Lonchura striata: one gene and its partner. The protein of the gene in region 2 interacts with the protein of the main gene of each other region in a pairwise test. Links are inferred from orthologs where the notes say so. Each region holds a gene or a part of one and is shown on either strand. Other genes may lie near its edges.

The links.
Region 1: the proteins of HSPD1 (region 2) and SAMD3 interact in binary tests that used the Homo sapiens proteins (3 or more experiments, as listed by UniProt). The two-hybrid records come from large-scale screens. The link is inferred for Lonchura striata from reciprocal best matches to the Homo sapiens genes HSPD1 and SAMD3.

What each region holds. Positions count from the first base shown.
Region 1 is NC_134605.1:60,348,771-60,357,625, reverse strand, and holds the start of SAMD3 (sterile alpha motif domain-containing protein 3), read right to left. Parts: upstream 3,349-8,855; 5' UTR 3,322-3,348; coding exon 3,243-3,321; intron 2,504-3,242; coding exon 2,314-2,503; intron 1-2,313.
Region 2 is NC_134610.1:28,259,693-28,268,636, reverse strand, and holds the start of HSPD1 (60 kDa heat shock protein, mitochondrial), read right to left. Parts: upstream 3,731-8,944; 5' UTR 3,628-3,730; intron 2,899-3,627; 5' UTR 2,897-2,898; coding exon 2,723-2,896; intron 72-2,722; coding exon 1-71. Other genes in the region: HSPE1 (10 kDa heat shock protein, mitochondrial), read left to right, coding at 4,209-4,211, 6,063-6,227, 7,316-7,405, 7,978-8,028. UniProt on the Homo sapiens protein: Chaperonin implicated in mitochondrial protein import and macromolecular assembly. Together with Hsp10, facilitates the correct folding of imported proteins.

The DNA of each region.
Region 1 (8,855 bases), on a different chromosome or scaffold from region 2:
TCTTGGAAGCTCCGCAGTGACTTCAGCTGACTCAGAAAGAGACTGTGATGATGATCCTTTCTTCCCTGCCCTGAGCAATGCCCTGTCCGCCCTGTCACTGGTCCTGGCAGGGTGAGCAAGCTCTGGGAACTGGCCTGACTGAGAAATAATTCTGCAAAACAGAAATGATGGGTGGTTTTCACCTGGGCTCAAGCACTGCACGATAGGAGCTAGGAGCATGCAAACTCAGATTTCAGTGTTGCTCTCTGGCACCACAAGGGGATAACACACCCAGCTGTGGATGCTATTAACTGCTTAACGTGGTTTCTCTACTCACTGAAATTCAGCCTAACATCAGGGAGCAATGGAGGAAATGTGAGTTCACATACACCGTGAACTGTCAGAACCACGAATTTTACATTTGTTCGAAACAGTGTCTCATACACTTAAGTCATGAGTCCTTGAACTAGATCAAAAGAAATTATTCTTATTTTGTTCAAGATGTATCAAACAGACAAAAATAATTTTGAACTACATCACTAAGAAAAGCACTGCAGTGTTAAGAAAAGAGTCACAGCTATCTGCATATAAAGATACAACTTTCAGTTTTGTAACAAAACACTCTTTTCACTATAGCTGCTTTTCCATATTTTTATACCCCAAAATGCACAGAGTGCATTTGACTTTTTACTCATCCTAAAATACATGACTGAATGCATCTTAAACTTGTTTGAATTTTATTCTGTCTTGCTGACACAAAAAAGGAGATTAGATAGGGGAAGATTTTAATGCAAATTATATTCACTAAGATTTGGTATTTTAAGCATTTAAATTTTTTTTGAGTCTGCTGAACTTCAGAGCAAAACTGTTGCACTCATGCTACTGCACCTGCTGAGAAGCACATGGGAAAGTCACATCTAAGACACAGGCTATCCAAATACCCCTGACCAAGTCAGAAAGCTAAATATCCAAAGCCACATTCTAACTGCCCTAAACATAAGGACATGTTTTCTTCTGAACCCCTGCTGAAATCATGGCATATCCACCTCACTTTGGATGAAGTACAGGACCTATACATGGTAGTCTTCTTCACAGCAGACACCTCTACCCTCTAAAGAAGGATCTTCCTATAAATCAAATAGGCAGAGAGTGGAGACCGGCTGTGGTCTCATGTTTCAGGCCTGTGATAAATCTCACATGCAGTGACTTAGTCTTCTTCCTGCAATCCCCTTCTCTCCAGCAGTGCAGGAGCATTTACCTCAGGAGTTTCACAAATACTTCCAGAAGGACAAGAGGATGTATCTCCCTGTGTAGTTTAGTTTTCCTCATGAGCTCTATATTGTTTGGAAGTTACTCAGTTATCACTATCATGCTTTTTTTGGGCTTTTAATCACCTCGGAGTGCACAACCTGGACTCCTTTTGGATGAAGGCAAATGCTCTGCAGTTCTAATCCTCTGGGATTAATCCTACTGTGCCTAATGCAGCCTTAGTGCTAGAGTCCTTTCCTTTAAAAAAAAAAAAAAGCATTTTGGATCCATGGCAAGCTGTTCTCGACAGCCAGGATTCTCGGGTTTAAAAGGTACCACTTAGAGGTCAGGATTTCTCTCCTCAGCCAAGATATTCAGAAAAACATAACCCTGAAAGATTTACAATAGATCAGAATGGAGGTAAACAATGGGAGAATGAACAAACCCTTCACAGAAATACCCGCAACGAAAACACCTAACAAACTCTGCCCACTCCTCCATCCCCTAAGAAACCCCAAACAAACAAAGAAAACCTGCCTAAACAAGACCCAGAATGTAATAACTGAGGACAATCTCTCTGGAATCTGTTTTCTAAAAATCTATGTAGTTTCACAATAAATTTCAATAATCCCACTGTGGGATTTTAAATGCTTACATCTGGACCAAATCCAGAGTTTCCTTTGATAAACTGACTTTCAATACCCCTGTGACACAAATACTATCTCTGGCTAAATCATTATTATACTACAAGATTTGCAAGCATTTAAAAGTAAGTTCTTCAAAAGCTTAATAGAGAAAACAGAGAAAATCTTAGCTATAATGAAAGTTTGACATTCAAATGAAAACTAGAACTCAGAACTGGATATGAAGGAAGTTTAAATTAATTAATGGTGTGTTTCAGGAATGTTGATGCCCTGTTTAAAACCACAAGGGAAGAATCTAATGTTACATTTCACATTTGTTACAGATACTCAAAATATAAAAACCAGGTACAGATGAAGAGCTATTAAATTCCAGTTTTAAAATGCCATGAAAAGAACACAACTATACCAAGACCAAAATTTGCTGTGCCATGAACAAACTCACCCACTGATTACTTCTGGAAATTTTTGAGAAGCTGTTTCACAACAGTATGTAAGGGGTTCCAGCCCACTCTTCTGTTGCCGGTATTTTTTAATTAGGTCCATCAGCACTGCCTGGTGCCCAATCTTCTTCACCAGCTGCTGCACCATACGATCATTAAGAGCCAGAAGAGCTGCTCCACTTATTTCTTCTTCTGCAGATCGAAGGGGATAAAAGAATTACTGTAAAATAGCTTTATAGTTACAGTTACATGCTATATGCCTAAACACATGATGATGGGAGATGGATCAAAGGGAAGGATGCTTTGTACTGCTGACAGTCATCTTCAGCTATCACCATCCTTTCCCAAGCAGTGCCAGGAGTCTTAATCACTGGCCAGATATCTTCCCCTGACATACAGCCAAGCCTGAAACACACAGAAGCAGAGGTGACAATTTTACTGCTTTAAGTCAGGCCTTGCTTGAATCACAGGAGACTGTTACTTGCTGATGAAGGAAATCAAGCTTTTTAACAGAGTAGACAAGCAATAGGCTGTTCACATTACAGTTTCTTGTGCACGCTTCTGTGAAGTGTCTATATACTCAAACATAAAACATTTGCACACTACATTTGCATTATTTCAAAAGATTTCTACAACATAAAATAGGCCCTGTCAGGTCTTTTAAACTGCCAGCTCTGATTTGAGGTGTGTCTATTTATATACAGGCTTAATTTCTTCCCCCAGGATTTCTCAGACTTTGTAGCAAATTTGTACACTTATGTTGATTTATCAGATATATGTCAGTTCTCACCCTAATAAATTTCTATAAAAGTCTGAGGTTAGCAAATACATACATGCCCCAAACCAAAACAAGGTAGGGAGTGCCAATAAAATGCATAGCAAGATATACTAAACAAACAGCACCACTCCCCCAAACAATAAAAATGCTTACCACGGAACTTAGGAACTAGCTCTCCTAAATTTCTCTGTTTCAACCAGTTGCAGACTTGCTCAACTGACCAACTTTCCATCTTCAATTGTTGCAACGTTAAATTTCTCTCTGAAATGAAAATAGATTATTTTTGTGCTGAGCTCTAAGCCAAGCTCCAACATTTCATATTAAAAAAATGTACTTAGGAAATAATATACCTACATGTTCTGAATAAAAATAGTGGAAAACAATCCAGCTAATGCCTGTTGTAAGTGGCAGTTTTCTTGGATCCCTTTCCTCTCCTCCTCTCCCGTCCCTGGTTTCCCTCTGTTCTGAGGCAGCCTCATTCCTTATAAAACAAGACCTGCTCCGGTACCATTAACACCCAGGTTTCCACACAGAGAAGAAAAAAGGTGTGAAATTCGCCACCACCATCAGGCTCATCAGGAAATGGCTGACATTTTACAGAAGGAAAAAAAAAAAAAAACAAGCCGCCCCACCATCAGATAAGAGTCTGTCACATCCATGCTTACAGTCAACCAAGCACCTTAACCCTCTCTGCACCGCCTGGCAGGGCAGGTACCCAGCAAACACTTAACCCTGAATTACCAACAGCCAGGGACAGGAAAGGTGGAAGGGAGGAGACTGCCCTGCTGTTGTTTGCTGGTTCTCTTCTCCAGGCTCCAGTGGTACCTGGGAGGATGCAGTGTGCGCCCTGGGAAGGCAGAGGCTCTGGGGCAGCCGGGATGGGTGCATCCACCCTCTGGGTGAATCCTGCACACTCTGTGTGCCTCCTGCCTGAAGGACACACTCGGATGACAAGGGGGTGCAACACACCCCAAAGCACCAGAGACCTCCCCAGAGGAAGGTAACTTATAGAGGCACAGCTTGTTCCACACTGCGAACTTCTCAGCAAGAGAAAACTCTCTCTGAGGGGAATTTTCTTATCAAGGTGTTTTAGCTCTCCTATCTAAAGGATCACCAAGTGCTCCATGACCGTGCTTGCAATCTACAGCACAGCAACACTATCGGAATCAGTTTTTCAGACACACGTATGAGTGTCTGGCATTGTTGGTCAAACATTTCCTTCCATACCCTAAGCCTGCAGCAAACTCCAGGCTAACATGAAGATTCACCCTCACAAACCTCATCAGAATCTGTGCTCAAAAGAAAAGGAAAACCAAAAAAAGAAAAAAACTCCTTGAATAAAATATTTCCATTTTCATCCTTCAGTAGCAGAGATCCTCCAAAAGACACACTTCAGTTTACACTCTTATGCCTGTCGACTTCAGCAGCTTAGAAGGGTTAAGTTTAAGAGGAATGCCTTTCTGAATTACATGAGTGGGTTTAATTTGATATGACAACAGTAGCCATACAACTCCTCCCCCAGGCTAAGCAACAAGAACAGGGTGTGAAAAGTCATTATTTGTTGAGAACTCTGGTGTAAATTAAAAATCACACCTTTCTGTCACACTTCTTACTTCCTTGCAAAGAGTAGTGCAGAAAAAAATTCTCCAAAAACTTGAAAGATAAAACCGGGTGCAAAGCAGAAAGATACTTCCCTTATCAACCAAGCAGTGTAAAAGGAGAGAGATACATTAAAATGTTGGAAAGGTCACTTCTTCACCCTATAAGAAGACTAACACCCTGGAACAATTATTCTAAAGCAGAGAGGCAGATACCAACACTTCAAAAAGTGTCAAGCAAACCCTAGCCATGCACAGCAATATGCACATTTAGCCCTGGGTGGCTAATTCTACAGCAAAATAGCCGCTTGCCCATGGAAATGCAGGCTGCACGCTTTATGGAGAGAAGTGATGATAGCTGAGAGGCAGTTTTGTTTTTTTTTAATCGTATATACATTAAGGGTCATGAAATTTAAATACTTTGAAATGCTTTTCAAAAGTGATTTCAGTTACTTGCCTCTGCTATAGACAAAGTAACCAAAAGAAAGAGCACACCAGTCTTCTATCAGTGTTATGGAGACAAGGACTGAGCACAGATGCTGGTATTTGTCTTCATTAATGATTTTATTTGTTACAGTAGCATCAAAAGATTATCCAGCAAAGGGTTGCCTGTGTTGAATGCGGTGAAACCTCTGAATAGTTATATTCCTCAATCAAGTCATATAAATCAGAACAACAAAAACCCAACAAAAACAGTTCTAAGCGTGAATGCTCTCTGTTTGTTAGTAATATAGCAAATCACTGGGACTCATTTCTTCATACACCTGGGGTCAATAACAATAATTAAGATTTATTTAGCCCTGGTTAATGAAATTAAGTAATGAAATCAATGAAAATTACTTTTCCCTAGAATGTGACAGAGGAGCACTTCTATTTACTATAAAAGTCTTCAAAACTGAAGCATAAAAATCTCAGGGTTAAATCAGATCAGGCTAAAGACCTATCAGTGGTACAGATTTCAGCTCCCACAGTGGGTTACACAATAGCAAGAGATGGGGATCCTGACCAGCAGGATGCTGGCAGATGCATACTGCACATGCACCAAATTATTCCATAGCTTGTCCACAGCTGCCATAATCTTGAAGTGACACTTCTAAATGAATAAGCCAATATATCAAAACACTTGAAATATGACGAGTCAGTTATTATGTTTACCTATGAGAGAGCCTATGGCACCACAGACGACAACTAGCACAACTTTTGACAAGCGTCTATGAGGTTTTTCACCAATGTCGGAGTTATGGTTAATTTTAGCACATTTAGTGCTAAAGAAATGTGTAAGGCATGTGATGTGTGCACATCTATACATCACAGCTGTGTGGCACATTCTGTAACGGGCCAGGTCTCAGAGTTACAAGTGTGATGAGTAGGAGTTGGTGCATACCAAAGATATAAGCAAAATATCCCATGTGCAATTTTATGCTCTCTTAATTTGGCTTCATCTTCAAATGCACTATACTTTATTTAAAATACTTTATTATTTTCTTTCCACTTACTACCAATCTCTTTTTAAAAACAATTAAAATAAATTCAAACAAATGTATTCAAGACAATGTAATCTCAGATCCAGTGATGAATTATCATGAAAAGAACATCAATTTTCCACAAACCTTTTCAGTAACATATAGGAAAAGGCTCTGAGGTAGCATTTCTGTCACCTTCCCCATCCCGTGAAGAAAATGCCAACAACACATTGCTGTCATTTGTCAGGCATTTATGCTAGCATGAACCATAGTGCAGAGATGTCCAAAATAAAGGGAAAAAAATCCCAGTATCAGTGAGGGAGCAAATCTTAAAGTCAACACACCAGTTCTCATTTCTATGCTACTATAGATGAAGACACATGCAGCTGCAAGACAAGGAGAGATGCAAACATACAGCAGATGCAAGAGAAAACCCATATCACCTAGGAGAAAGGCTATATAAGAAGATCTAGGAAGAAAACATGCACATCCATTAGTCAGTTGTAGATAACGGGAAACAAGCCAGACAAAGCTTTTAAAATTTGATCAGAGCTAAGGGAATTTACAAGGGTTCTGAACATGCCCATCCATTGAGCTTATCAAGTAAACAAATCCCTCTGCAAGAATTAACTCTGAAGAATATTATAAAAAAATAATCCCTTTCCTTAATACATGTGCTTCTGATTAAATATTATATTTCTAATACTCAAGTTTTTGCTATGTGAACTTTAAAAATATTTTCATTTGTGCTAGCTGCAGTATTACTGGAAAAACGAGTTGTCCCACTTCAACAGCAAAATTCAACACAAGAACCAAGTTCTCTCTATTACAGATATGCAACTTATTTGGCAATTTGAAAGGTAGAATAATAAATTAACTGTGATTTAATAACAATGTAAATGAGACTCCATTCTTGCTATTACTGGCAACAGAGTACAAGTGATAAGACACTTAGCTGTAAAAGTCTTCCTTTTTTTTAAAAAAAAAAAACCTTCTGGAAATGAGGGCCCTGTAAAATCAAAACTTTTTATATTATCTTTTTGTCATGGTTTGACACTGGCCCAATGCCAGGCACAAACAAGAGTTGCTCTCTCACCCTTCCCTGCCACAGCTGGGCAGAGGAGAGGAAAAAAGTTAACAAAGACTTCATGAGTTTAGATAAGGATCGGGAGAATAAAAAAAAAGAACTTCAAGGGCGTAACAGGCTCAACTTCAGGCTGCCAGGTGAATTTATTATGAACAGAAGAGGGTAATGAGAAGCAAAATGAGCCTTTAAAGCACCTTTTCTCCCCAGGCCCTCCTTCCTTTCCACTGACAGGGTATGGGGGTTTTTGGGTCAGTTCATCACCAAGATTTTTTTTTCCACTGCTCCAAGAGAGGAGTCCTTCCCCTGTGAGTCTGTGGGGTCCCTTCCCACGGGTGACAGTCCTCCATGAACTTCTCCTGTGGGTCCACTTCTCACGAGTAGCTGCCCTACTATATCTACTGCAATGTGAACTCCCTTCCCAGGCTGGGAAGTCCCAAAACTGCTGTGACATGGGTCTCTCTTTCTATGGGGTGGAGTCCTCCAAGGATAGGCTGCTCCAGCCTGGAAGCAGAGCCCCTCTCTCCACCAGGTCTCTCACTGGATTACAGCCTCTTACATCCACCTGCTCCAGCATGGGCTGTGGGTGGATCTCTGCATCTCCTGTGGATCCCCATGGGCTGCGGGGGCTCAGCTGCTTCGCCGTGGTCTCTCCGCGGCCTGCAGAGGAATCTCGGCTCCGGCACCTGGAGCACCTCATCCCCTCCCTCTCCACTGACCTTTGTGTCTCCGTGTTTTTTCCCTCACATGGTCTCACCTCCTCCTTTACCCTGACTAGCAGAAACACCTTTGACTTTGTTTTGATTTCCTTCTTAAATATGCCATTACAGAGGCATCACCAACCTCTCTTATTGGCCCAGTTTTGGCCAGCTGCACATTTGTCTTCAAAGCCATCAAGGATTGGCTCTGCTGGACATGGTGGAAGCTTCCAGCAGCTTTCAAGAGAAGCCATCTCTGCGGCCCACCTGCTACCAAAAACCAGGTCCTGCAAAACAAATAAGATTTAATAAAACTGTATCAAATAAAAATACAATGTTACAGTGAGAAAAGGGGGGAAAATGAAGTAAATGTTAAAAATTTATGAATCACAAAAATTAGATTTCATGTGTCAAAAAGAAAGCAATCAGACATGGACATGGTATGGTATGGCATGGACACTGCTCCAGAAGACTAGAGAAATAAATAATTTAATCTTGCTGATATTTCTTTTCTCCCCAGAGTACAATTTTCTCACCAGGTCCATGTGTTGTGTTGATCATGTCACTGCTTGCTGGCTTACCAGAGGACTGCAGCTCTTGTCACTGGCCCATACAGAGACCATGGGTGCTGTTGCCCTGGTCTGCAATTCCCCACTAGCCTGAACTGGCAGCCCTAATCCAGCCCTCTTCTTTGCAACCAGTCATGTGGTCATGCAATCAACAGTGCAGGCTAAACTGAAAACGTCGTGTTTTGGTGGGTTGGCCAATTGTGTGAAAATAGATGGTGGAGTCATATCTGTAGATTTATCATAGTGTACATTGATCCCTGTTTCAATGCATTGGAAATTGGAAAGATTTCTATCTTAATTGGTTTGTAAAGTTAGGCCAAAAACCCAAACTGTGAGTAACTAGTTTACCTCCAA
Region 2 (8,944 bases):
TTTGCTACTGTCACACCATCTTTTGTCACTTTGGGACTTCCCCAGCTTTGTTCAATAATAACTGTTCTTCCCTAGGGGGACAAAAACCAAATTCTAAATCCAAGCTAATCCAAAGCAAGTTACTCTCAAGAGCTCAACTGAAAATTTTGAACAGTCACAGCTTACACGGGGCATTCAGCTGGGACTTCTCAAACACTTACTTTAATACTAAAGTTCTCCTAAACCAGAAAAATGGTTCAAAAGCTTTATGTTTCCACAGAATGACACTCCATTCTTCAGCCATAATGCTTAATACCTGCTATTAAGTAACACTGACTGTAGAGAAAAAACTGAAGAGATTCTCTCTAATGCTAATATTTTACCCCAAAATTAAAAGTACAGCAATTCAAATAACCAAATTTTCAAAATTTTAATCACATCACAATAAACATTCTTTGTGATTAAAAAACAAGTAATACAAAGCTCAATTTGTTGCATATGCTGTAAGGAAAAAAAAAAAGCAGACTTGCAAACCTTAATAGTGATTAGCAAAGACAACTGAGAATACTTCAAATTTGTGTTCATGTGTTACAGTAATTTCTCAAGCACTTCAAGTTACCAAGCTTTTCTCATCTTAGCTCTCGCCTGAATCCAACTAACAAGCCGGAGCATTGTATCTAACAGGCAGAGCTAACACAGGAACCAACAGCTGTCCCAGTCATGTTCCAGTCGGAGCTGGAGGCAGCAGAAACTCGAGCCACCTCTGGTTTAGTGCTGCCCTGAAACTCCTCTGCTATCCTGGCAGCTGGAGCTGCTGGAAGAGGGAAGGGAGCCCCAGCTCAGCAGTGTCCCTCCCAGCCAGCCCTGCACAAGTGCCCTCACTGGGTCTGTCAGGTCCTGCTCCGAGCTGACCCCGCCGGCTCCTGCCAGAGCCCAGGGTGGGGATCAGGAGCCAGGCAAGGATTCAGTGCAGCACCCAGCGCTGCGTGCCCTGTGCCCCTCCCCTGCTCGGAGCCCACACACATCTGCCTCAAAACCGAACCAGCTCTGGCTGCCTGCCAGGCACGAGGCCTCGCTGCTCCTGAAGCACAGCACCCCAGCAGCTACAAGGAAAGGTTCTGCTTCAGTTACTCAGGCTGAACCAGGGGAAGAACTCATTGAAATTTACCTCTGTGCCACGGAATAGTTATGATAAAATAATAAATTATCTTATTTGACCTGCCCATCTAAATATAAATGTGATTCAAGTATAAGAAAACTCCTCTGTGGAGGAGCATGCTACCAGTAGGTACATTTTTCATATAACGTCTCCTAGTTTGCTTAATTCTGTTTTGTATTTGATATAGTCTTATTCTTAATGGTTGGTTTATAGCTCTGAGAAGAGGAGCACAACAAAACCTAGATAACAAATCACATGAAAGGGCTTGCTCTTTTAGAAGCAAAAACACCTGTCTGTGTTCCTGAAGAAGAGAACAAACACCACCAGTAACTGCACAGGCATTTAGGAATGGTCTGGCTCCCACACAAACCAGTTCTGTTCAACATACTGGAGCACTACCAAAAGATTGTGTGAGACTGCAAACTGGGCTCCTTAAAATGTAGAGCAGTGCCAAAGGAGGTTTCCTCACCAGTGATGTTTCTTAAAAATGCCAGAAGCAGACTCAGGCACTGCAGCACAACCCCTCAATTTTTACAATACATGAAGAACAGCATAATGAACAAAAATCCCCTAAGGTTACACTACGTTACATCAGCAACTGCCCTTTAGCCAGTGGATTAGAACTGTGCTTCGGCATTCAGAAAGCAGCCTGATCCAAAAAAACAAGAGTTAAATTAACCAACTACACTTAAACTTTGTTCCTTCATGGAAGCAGTCACGGCTTCCTGACATAATTGATCCTTCATCTGCTCAGCTTTATGGCACTTTTGCCTTTGAATGAAAGTGGTAGAGCACTAAAAATGGGCAGAAAATACATGAAATAATGTTACAGAGGACAAGCAATCCTCAGAAGAACTACCATGCACATGCTATTATAGGGAACAAATATTCACATAACCCCCAAGAAAATCCATGTCTCTTCCTCAAAAAGAGGAATCTCATTTCAAGCCCTACTGCACATTGCATGACTATGCAGAATACCACAGCTGGTTTTCCAAGAGACCCAGATCTCCTTTACAGGACAGAATATAGGGTAATAAATGCAATACCACAAAATTGTACTTAGGCTGGTAATACTCACCAGACAATTGAAAACTCAACATCACACTTTGGCTATTTTTAAAAGCTTATTAATATTTAAAAGGTAAACCAATATAAAATTTTAATTTGTTAAACAAACAAAACAAGCATCATAAAAAAGTCCAACCAAGCCACCCACACGCTGATTAACCTACCCCACGACACAGACAGTTACATTATCTACTGCACTGTTACAGGTTATCAACTGAGCTGGTAACACATTATGCACAACTCCTTAACCTTCAAACTGTTTAGACGAATATAATGTACCTTTCACAAGATTCCAAGCAATTTTACTTTGTTACTTCAAAAAGCACGTGCACTATTGTCCCACTTTTGGTGGACATGAGACTACAGCTGCTTGCAGGAGCCCCATTCCCCTACCCTTTCGCGTTGCAGGTCTGCAAATACAATCGTGCAGCTTCACCGAGAGAAACTCAACAACTGTTCTCTGTTACAGTTATTTTCAGCCAGGTCTAACATAAAGGCCAAATCTTCCATTACCTTTGGCCCCATGGTGACAGCTACAGCATCTGCTAAAAGATCTACTCCTTGCAGCATCAGAGCTCTCGCGTCTGCTCCGAATTTCACATCTTTTGCATAGGCTCGTGTCAGATGTGGGGCGAGGGATCTGGACACTGGTCTTATCTGACGGAGTACTGTAGATAAGCGGAGCATGTCTAAAATATTAAAAGAAAGGTAGAGAAAAACAAAAGCATTATGGCTTTGCACAGCTACTTCTGCAGGAAAAGAGGGGTAAGAGATTCAGGAAGTAAAGCAGGCACGATGAATCTTTAGTTTCTCGAGTGGCTGAAATCGCGACACACAAGTAACTGCGGGTACCGGGCCGGGTGTCCCCGATGCTCCCGCCGAGCCCCGCGCGGCCTGCAGCACGTCCGATCCCTCCCGCCCGGAGCGGGGCAGGGCGCGGCGAGGGCAGCGCGGAGCGCCCGCGGCTCCATGTGCTCGGCGCGGGGCCGCGCCCGCCCGCGGCCGCAGCGGCAGCTCGGGTACGGCTCCCGCAGCCCGCTACGCCACCAAGGGCGGACAGGAGAGCGACAAGGCCGCGGCCGCCACCCGGGCCCGCAGGAGCCCCCGCGCCGGGCAGGGCCCCGCGGGCACATGGCCGCCGCACCAGGACACGCGCAGCAAGGTCAGCGCCGCCCGCCCCCCGCCGCCGCCGCCCGGCCCGCCGCGCCACCCCCGGCCCGCAGGAGGCGCGGGGCCCGCTCCCGCCGCCCGGGCGCACAGCCCGCATCGCGGCCGCCCCCCGCTCCCGCCGCCCGGGCCCGGCCGCTCCCGGCGCGCGGCCCCCGCGGGAAGCGCGGCCGAAGGAGCGGGGGCCCCGTGCCCCTCCCAAGCCGGGCAGGGCGGCGCGGGCCCGGCGCGCCGGGCGCGTTCCCGCTCACCTGCGGCAGCGCGGGAGCAGCACCGCGGCTCTGCGGACTCGGGGCACGTCTGGCGCGGCGGCGGCGGGCGGCGCTCGGCACTCACCGCCTCGGCCCCGCCCCCGCGCCGCCGCCGGCCCATGTGCGGCTCCGGCCGCCCGGCCCCGGAACCAGCATGGCCTCCGCGCCCGCCCACAGCCCGCATGCCGCGCTGGGCCGCGGGCTACAACAGCGCATGCGCCAAGGGCTCGTAGCATGAACTATTCATGTTCCCGGGCCCGCCGATTCCAGAACCTTCTGGAACGCTCATGCCCGCCGCGGGTCAGAGGTGAGCTGACCTCACTTCCGTGCGGGGCCCGGCCCGGGGCGCCGCGGGAGCTGCGCGGCGGGCCCGCCGTGCCGCCGGGGCGCAGCCGTTCCCGGGGCTGAGAGGGGGCCGCAGAGGTCGGAAAAAAACGGCGGCTCTGAACGTCCCCGGGGCCGGGGGTCGGGTCTGCTCCGCCCCGGGGCGGGGCGCCGGTCGCGCATGCGCCCGCCGTGACCTTCCTCACGTGTGTGCTGGCGGCGGCGCGGTCACTCGGTGCGGGCGGCGCGGGAGCAGCATGGTGAGTGCCGGGGCCCCGCCGCGCCGCCTGCCCATCGCTGCTGTGGCCCGGGCCGCCCCGCCCCGCGTGTCTGGCGCCGCGGGGACAGACGGCCCGCGGGGCCCCGCGGCGGCCCCGCTCTCCCCGCGGTTGGGTCGCTGCCGGGGCCCCCGAGCAGCCGCGGCCGCGCACGGCTGCGCTCGGTCCCCGCGGGCAGCGCTGGGTCGCGGGGAGGCGCGGGGAAGGTGGAGCCGGGGTGGCGGCGCCGCAAGGTCACGCAGTCCGGGGGGCAGAGGCGACTCCCCGGCAGGCGCGGGGGCTGCGGCCGGGACGTGGCGGGAGGTTTGCCGGGGCTGGCTGCCTTTGGCTGCGCAGACACTCGAGCTCAGGGTTCCTCCCCGCCGCAGTAACGGGAGCAGCCCCGTGACAGCAGCGCCGCAGGGCAGGGCCGCACAGGCCACGGCGGGTCTCTGCGGAGATGGAAACCTGTGCCACGCTCCAGAGCTCTCCTTCTGTACGTTTAGTGAAATTTTTTATAGGGAAGAAGGAGAGTTTGACTGAGTTGCCCTTGTTCTTGCAGTGATACTTGGTTCTTGTGATGATAATAACGTAAAGAATTAAAACTTGGTGTAAAATGTTCATGATCATTAGTCTGGCAGCTTTATTTTTGGTAAACGTAAAACAGCTCTTAAAAAGGAGGGTCAGCGATATTATTTTCACAGAATGAAACGTACAGAACTGGCAGCCTTTTCCCTTGGTTAGCTTTCATCCCTGTGCTGCTGACAGCAGTCAAATACATCTTCTATGAGCTGCCTTTTGTTCGCGCTCTGCCTGTGGCTCTGCTTTCTGCCACTTCTCAAGTGTGTGTGGATACCGGTGAGTGCCAGCAAAGGGACACGGGTGCCAGGCCCTTCTGGCTCTTTCTGAGTGTGGCCTCTGTGTACCTGCCTAGTGGAGCACTAGCTCCATGTGACTTGGCAAGTGGCCATATCTTTCCTTCTAAATCAAAGCAAGTTCCTTCTTCCTGACCCCCGTGCTTTTGGATAAATGCATTTGCTGGCATTTATCTGGCCTATGGGAATTTGACTGCCGATTCTGGAATGCAGACAGGTAGCAGTAGGTAGTTGTAAAAAAACCCCAAAACTAAGCCAGATATGAGAGGAAAACCCAACAGCTTAATAAAAACCCCTCAACTTGACTCTGCTTAAACAGAAGCAGATACCAAAGCAATTGAGCTAGAAGGGTGCCTAGCTTCTCATTTTCAGGTTCTTGACCTAAACTTTCTTTTAATTTTTTCTGAATCTCTTTGTAGAAGTTGGGATAAGTAACAGCACTGTGTTCAGGCTGCAGATTCTCACCTATTTTTTTGAAAGCACCTGAGAAAAGCTGACAATGGGGCACCTGGTTAGACTTGTGCTTCTTTAATGTAAACCCTTTCACAAGTGTAGATGTAGCTCTCCCAAGGAGTCCTTAATCTCCATTAGATCTGGTTGTGAACTGGAGAAATGCGGTTCATATAATCAATAATTATGTTCGCCAAGCTATAGCAACTAAGGGTTTGGTGTTAAAAGCCTAGAGGCCTTTCCAGACAGAGGAGTCTGCTCTGTCCGAGGGCGGTTTATTCCCCAGCTGGAGTACATCTTCCTACGGCCGAATTGTCAGGATTTCCCAGCATCTGCCTGTGCCTTCAGGAGTTTCTGATGCAGTCAGAGCTGGTACTTGTTTGCTGCTATTAAAGAAGTGCTTAGCAGTTGTCTTACACTATTCATCTCTCTCAAAGGAGGAATCACTATGTGTTGGATTTTTAAAACTCCTTTTAATTGCAGTTTTTGTTGTAATGGTGCTCTTACTAATGTACAATTACTTCCACAGGCAGGAAAAGCATTTAGGAAATTTCTTCCCCTCTTTGATCGTGTGCTGGTTGAGCGATGTGCGGCTGAGACAGTAACCAAAGGAGGAATCATGATACCAGAAAAATCCCAAGGGAAGGTACTACAAGCAACAGTAGTAGCAGTTGGATCTGGAGGCAGAGGAAAGGTAATCACCCTGAAGCATTCCATTTGGTAGAACCAGTAATGGTGTGGTGGTCACTGGAATGTTGCCGTGAGAGTGGGATGGTTGTTGTGCAAAAGTGGTAATGGATGACTGTGATGGCTAAAATTGCAAGTGGGGATTTAAAAGCAGGTAGAAATCTCAAGTTGTCCTGAAATGAATTCCAGCATTCCTTTCATCATTTGTAAAATGGAGTGGAGTTTCTTTTGTAGACAGTGTTTTATGTGATACCATATTTCATCACATCTCAGCCAAAACCTTGAGGGACCAGTAGACTTCTTTGTTAAAATTACTACGTGCCCAAATGTCTGTGACTTGTGAGCAGGGTGGAACCCCAAAATGTGGTATTGGCTGCCTTGTGCTGTGCAAAATATCATTATCGATAAGGATTAGGCTTCTTGGACTAAAGAAAGTCAGCAATCAAAAGAAATAATTGTTGAATAACTGTTTGTTAATTTTGCACATTGGATATGCATATGCCAATAAGAGTTCACAGAAATGCCAGTGCCTGGGTGCTCCCACATCAGAAGGGCTGGTTCCCCACCAGAGCAGTGTTCAGTCAGTAGCAACACTGGAAAACAGGTTAAATTTCAGCTTGGGCACATTGCCTTGGCCTTCCTTTACCGTGAGTCCCTCTATACGTCCCAGGCTGGTTTGTGTCAGGATCTGATTTTTAATGGTTTATATTGTGAAAGGGTGATAATGTTTGACTAATGTGTTAATGTTTTATTTATAATACAAAAATTTAATTAAATTTCATCAGGTGTTCCTAAACAAGTGAATTGATGGCAACAGTGACAAGTTGATCAAAGTTACAGAAATTACTTGGAGAAATTATCCTTGGTTATAGAATATGGAAATGGACTTTGTCCCTTGATTTTACAAGGGGGTTTCATGGTTCATTAAGTGAAGTCCTATTCAGTGTGTCAAGCAAAGACCTCACGCTTGTATTAACAGTCAAAACTAAATGCAGAGTTGTGATTTCCTGAATGTTTCTGTACACAGATGGATTGTGGTAGTTTGGAGGTATTCTATCACAGAAAAGTAAGGATTTTTTTTTTTTCTTTTTCCAGAATGGCGAGATTCAGCCAGTGAGTGTAAAAGTTGGTGAAAAGGTTTTGCTCCCAGAATATGGTGGAACTAAGATCGTACTGGAAGATAAGGTAGGTTTCCCAACTTTGTGAGTGCAAATCGGAATGGTTCCTGAAATGCCAGTGATAAATACTGTGGTTACTTGGTGGTGTTTGCACCATTCACACAAGAAGACAGCATTCACACAACACAAGGGAGGGAGCAGCTGGATCCAGCCACCCTCTGGTAGCTGTGCTACTGCTACTTCAGCCCTTGCATAAAAGGAAGCAACCATGGGATCCTCTGACCTGACCTTTGCTGGGTGGGCAAAATGTTCCATATGTCAAGTACATATTAGAGAGAATCCAAAAAGGCTTAGGAATTCCTGGGGGCATCCTTGTTTTTGGTACAGAAAGCTTGCAGAATTGTTTTCTAACCGTTCTTGTGCTTTCCCACTGCTAGAAGTAACTTGATAGCTCTCCAAAGATTATCTTAGGAACAAAAAGAACTTTTTCAAGACTAGCTCTACATGTTGACTTCTTGGTTAGCTCACTTTTGATTTTATTCTTAATGACTGCAATTAATGCTGACTCAGAACAAGACAGTATTTACAAAACAAGAAAAATATTTACATGAGAGAAGCTAACGGTTCTTTTCTTTACAGGACTACTACTTGTTTAGAGATGGTGACATTCTTGGGAAATATGTGGACTAAACCTGTTGCAGTATCAGTCATCCATTCCACTAAAATGCTGAAATTTTTCTTTCATCATGTAAATAATGTCCTTTATTTTATAATAAACAGGCATTGAGTCTTTGAAATAACTTGTGATCTCACTGTAATGATGGAACACAAATAAAAATATGTACAGTCAGAAACCAGTTGCTCTTGCTTGAGTTCCATTGAACAGTGAAATTTGGATGACCGCCAACCAGCCTTAATTCCAAACAGCATCATTTTATATCCTTATCTCTGTACTGAGATTGTAAAGGTCTTTACAATAAACTTATAAAACTATTCTGCTTCTGTCTCAGTTTCTGCTGCTGCTCAGTGAAACTGAGTCTCAATTGTAATGAGCTCTCTGTAACATTCAATGGTAGTAATATGTTATTTTCACCAAGTTTGTATGAAATGAGCTTAAAAGGGTTACCAGACAGATGCAATCTTGCTGAGGACTTGTATCCAGCTCCCTTGCACATTGGACTCCAGTGTGCGATAGCATGGGTTCTTCTAAGTCCTGTATGAAGACCCTGAAATACTGAAATGTTAAGGCACACAAACAGCCTGTCCCCCAGCAGGTGGAAGGAGCTTGCTATTAGTCATGTCTGTGCTGTAACAGGATCATGCTGATCTTAAATGAAATTTCTTTACTGATTACCACACTATCACACCCAGATCTTGAGTTTTCCCTTTGACGAATTATATTTCATTTACCCTTAACACACCATTCTTAAATAGCAAGACACTGACTTAGGTAATGCTGAAGCTGAATTAATGCTGAATTAAATTTGCATATTCCTAGCCACCTTCTCTTGCCTTGACAAGGATTCAGGGTTGTGCATGAGGAGCACCCAAATCTGCACTGTTCCTGTGGAGGCTTTCAAAACTGAGGTGCACAGAGGGATCTAGT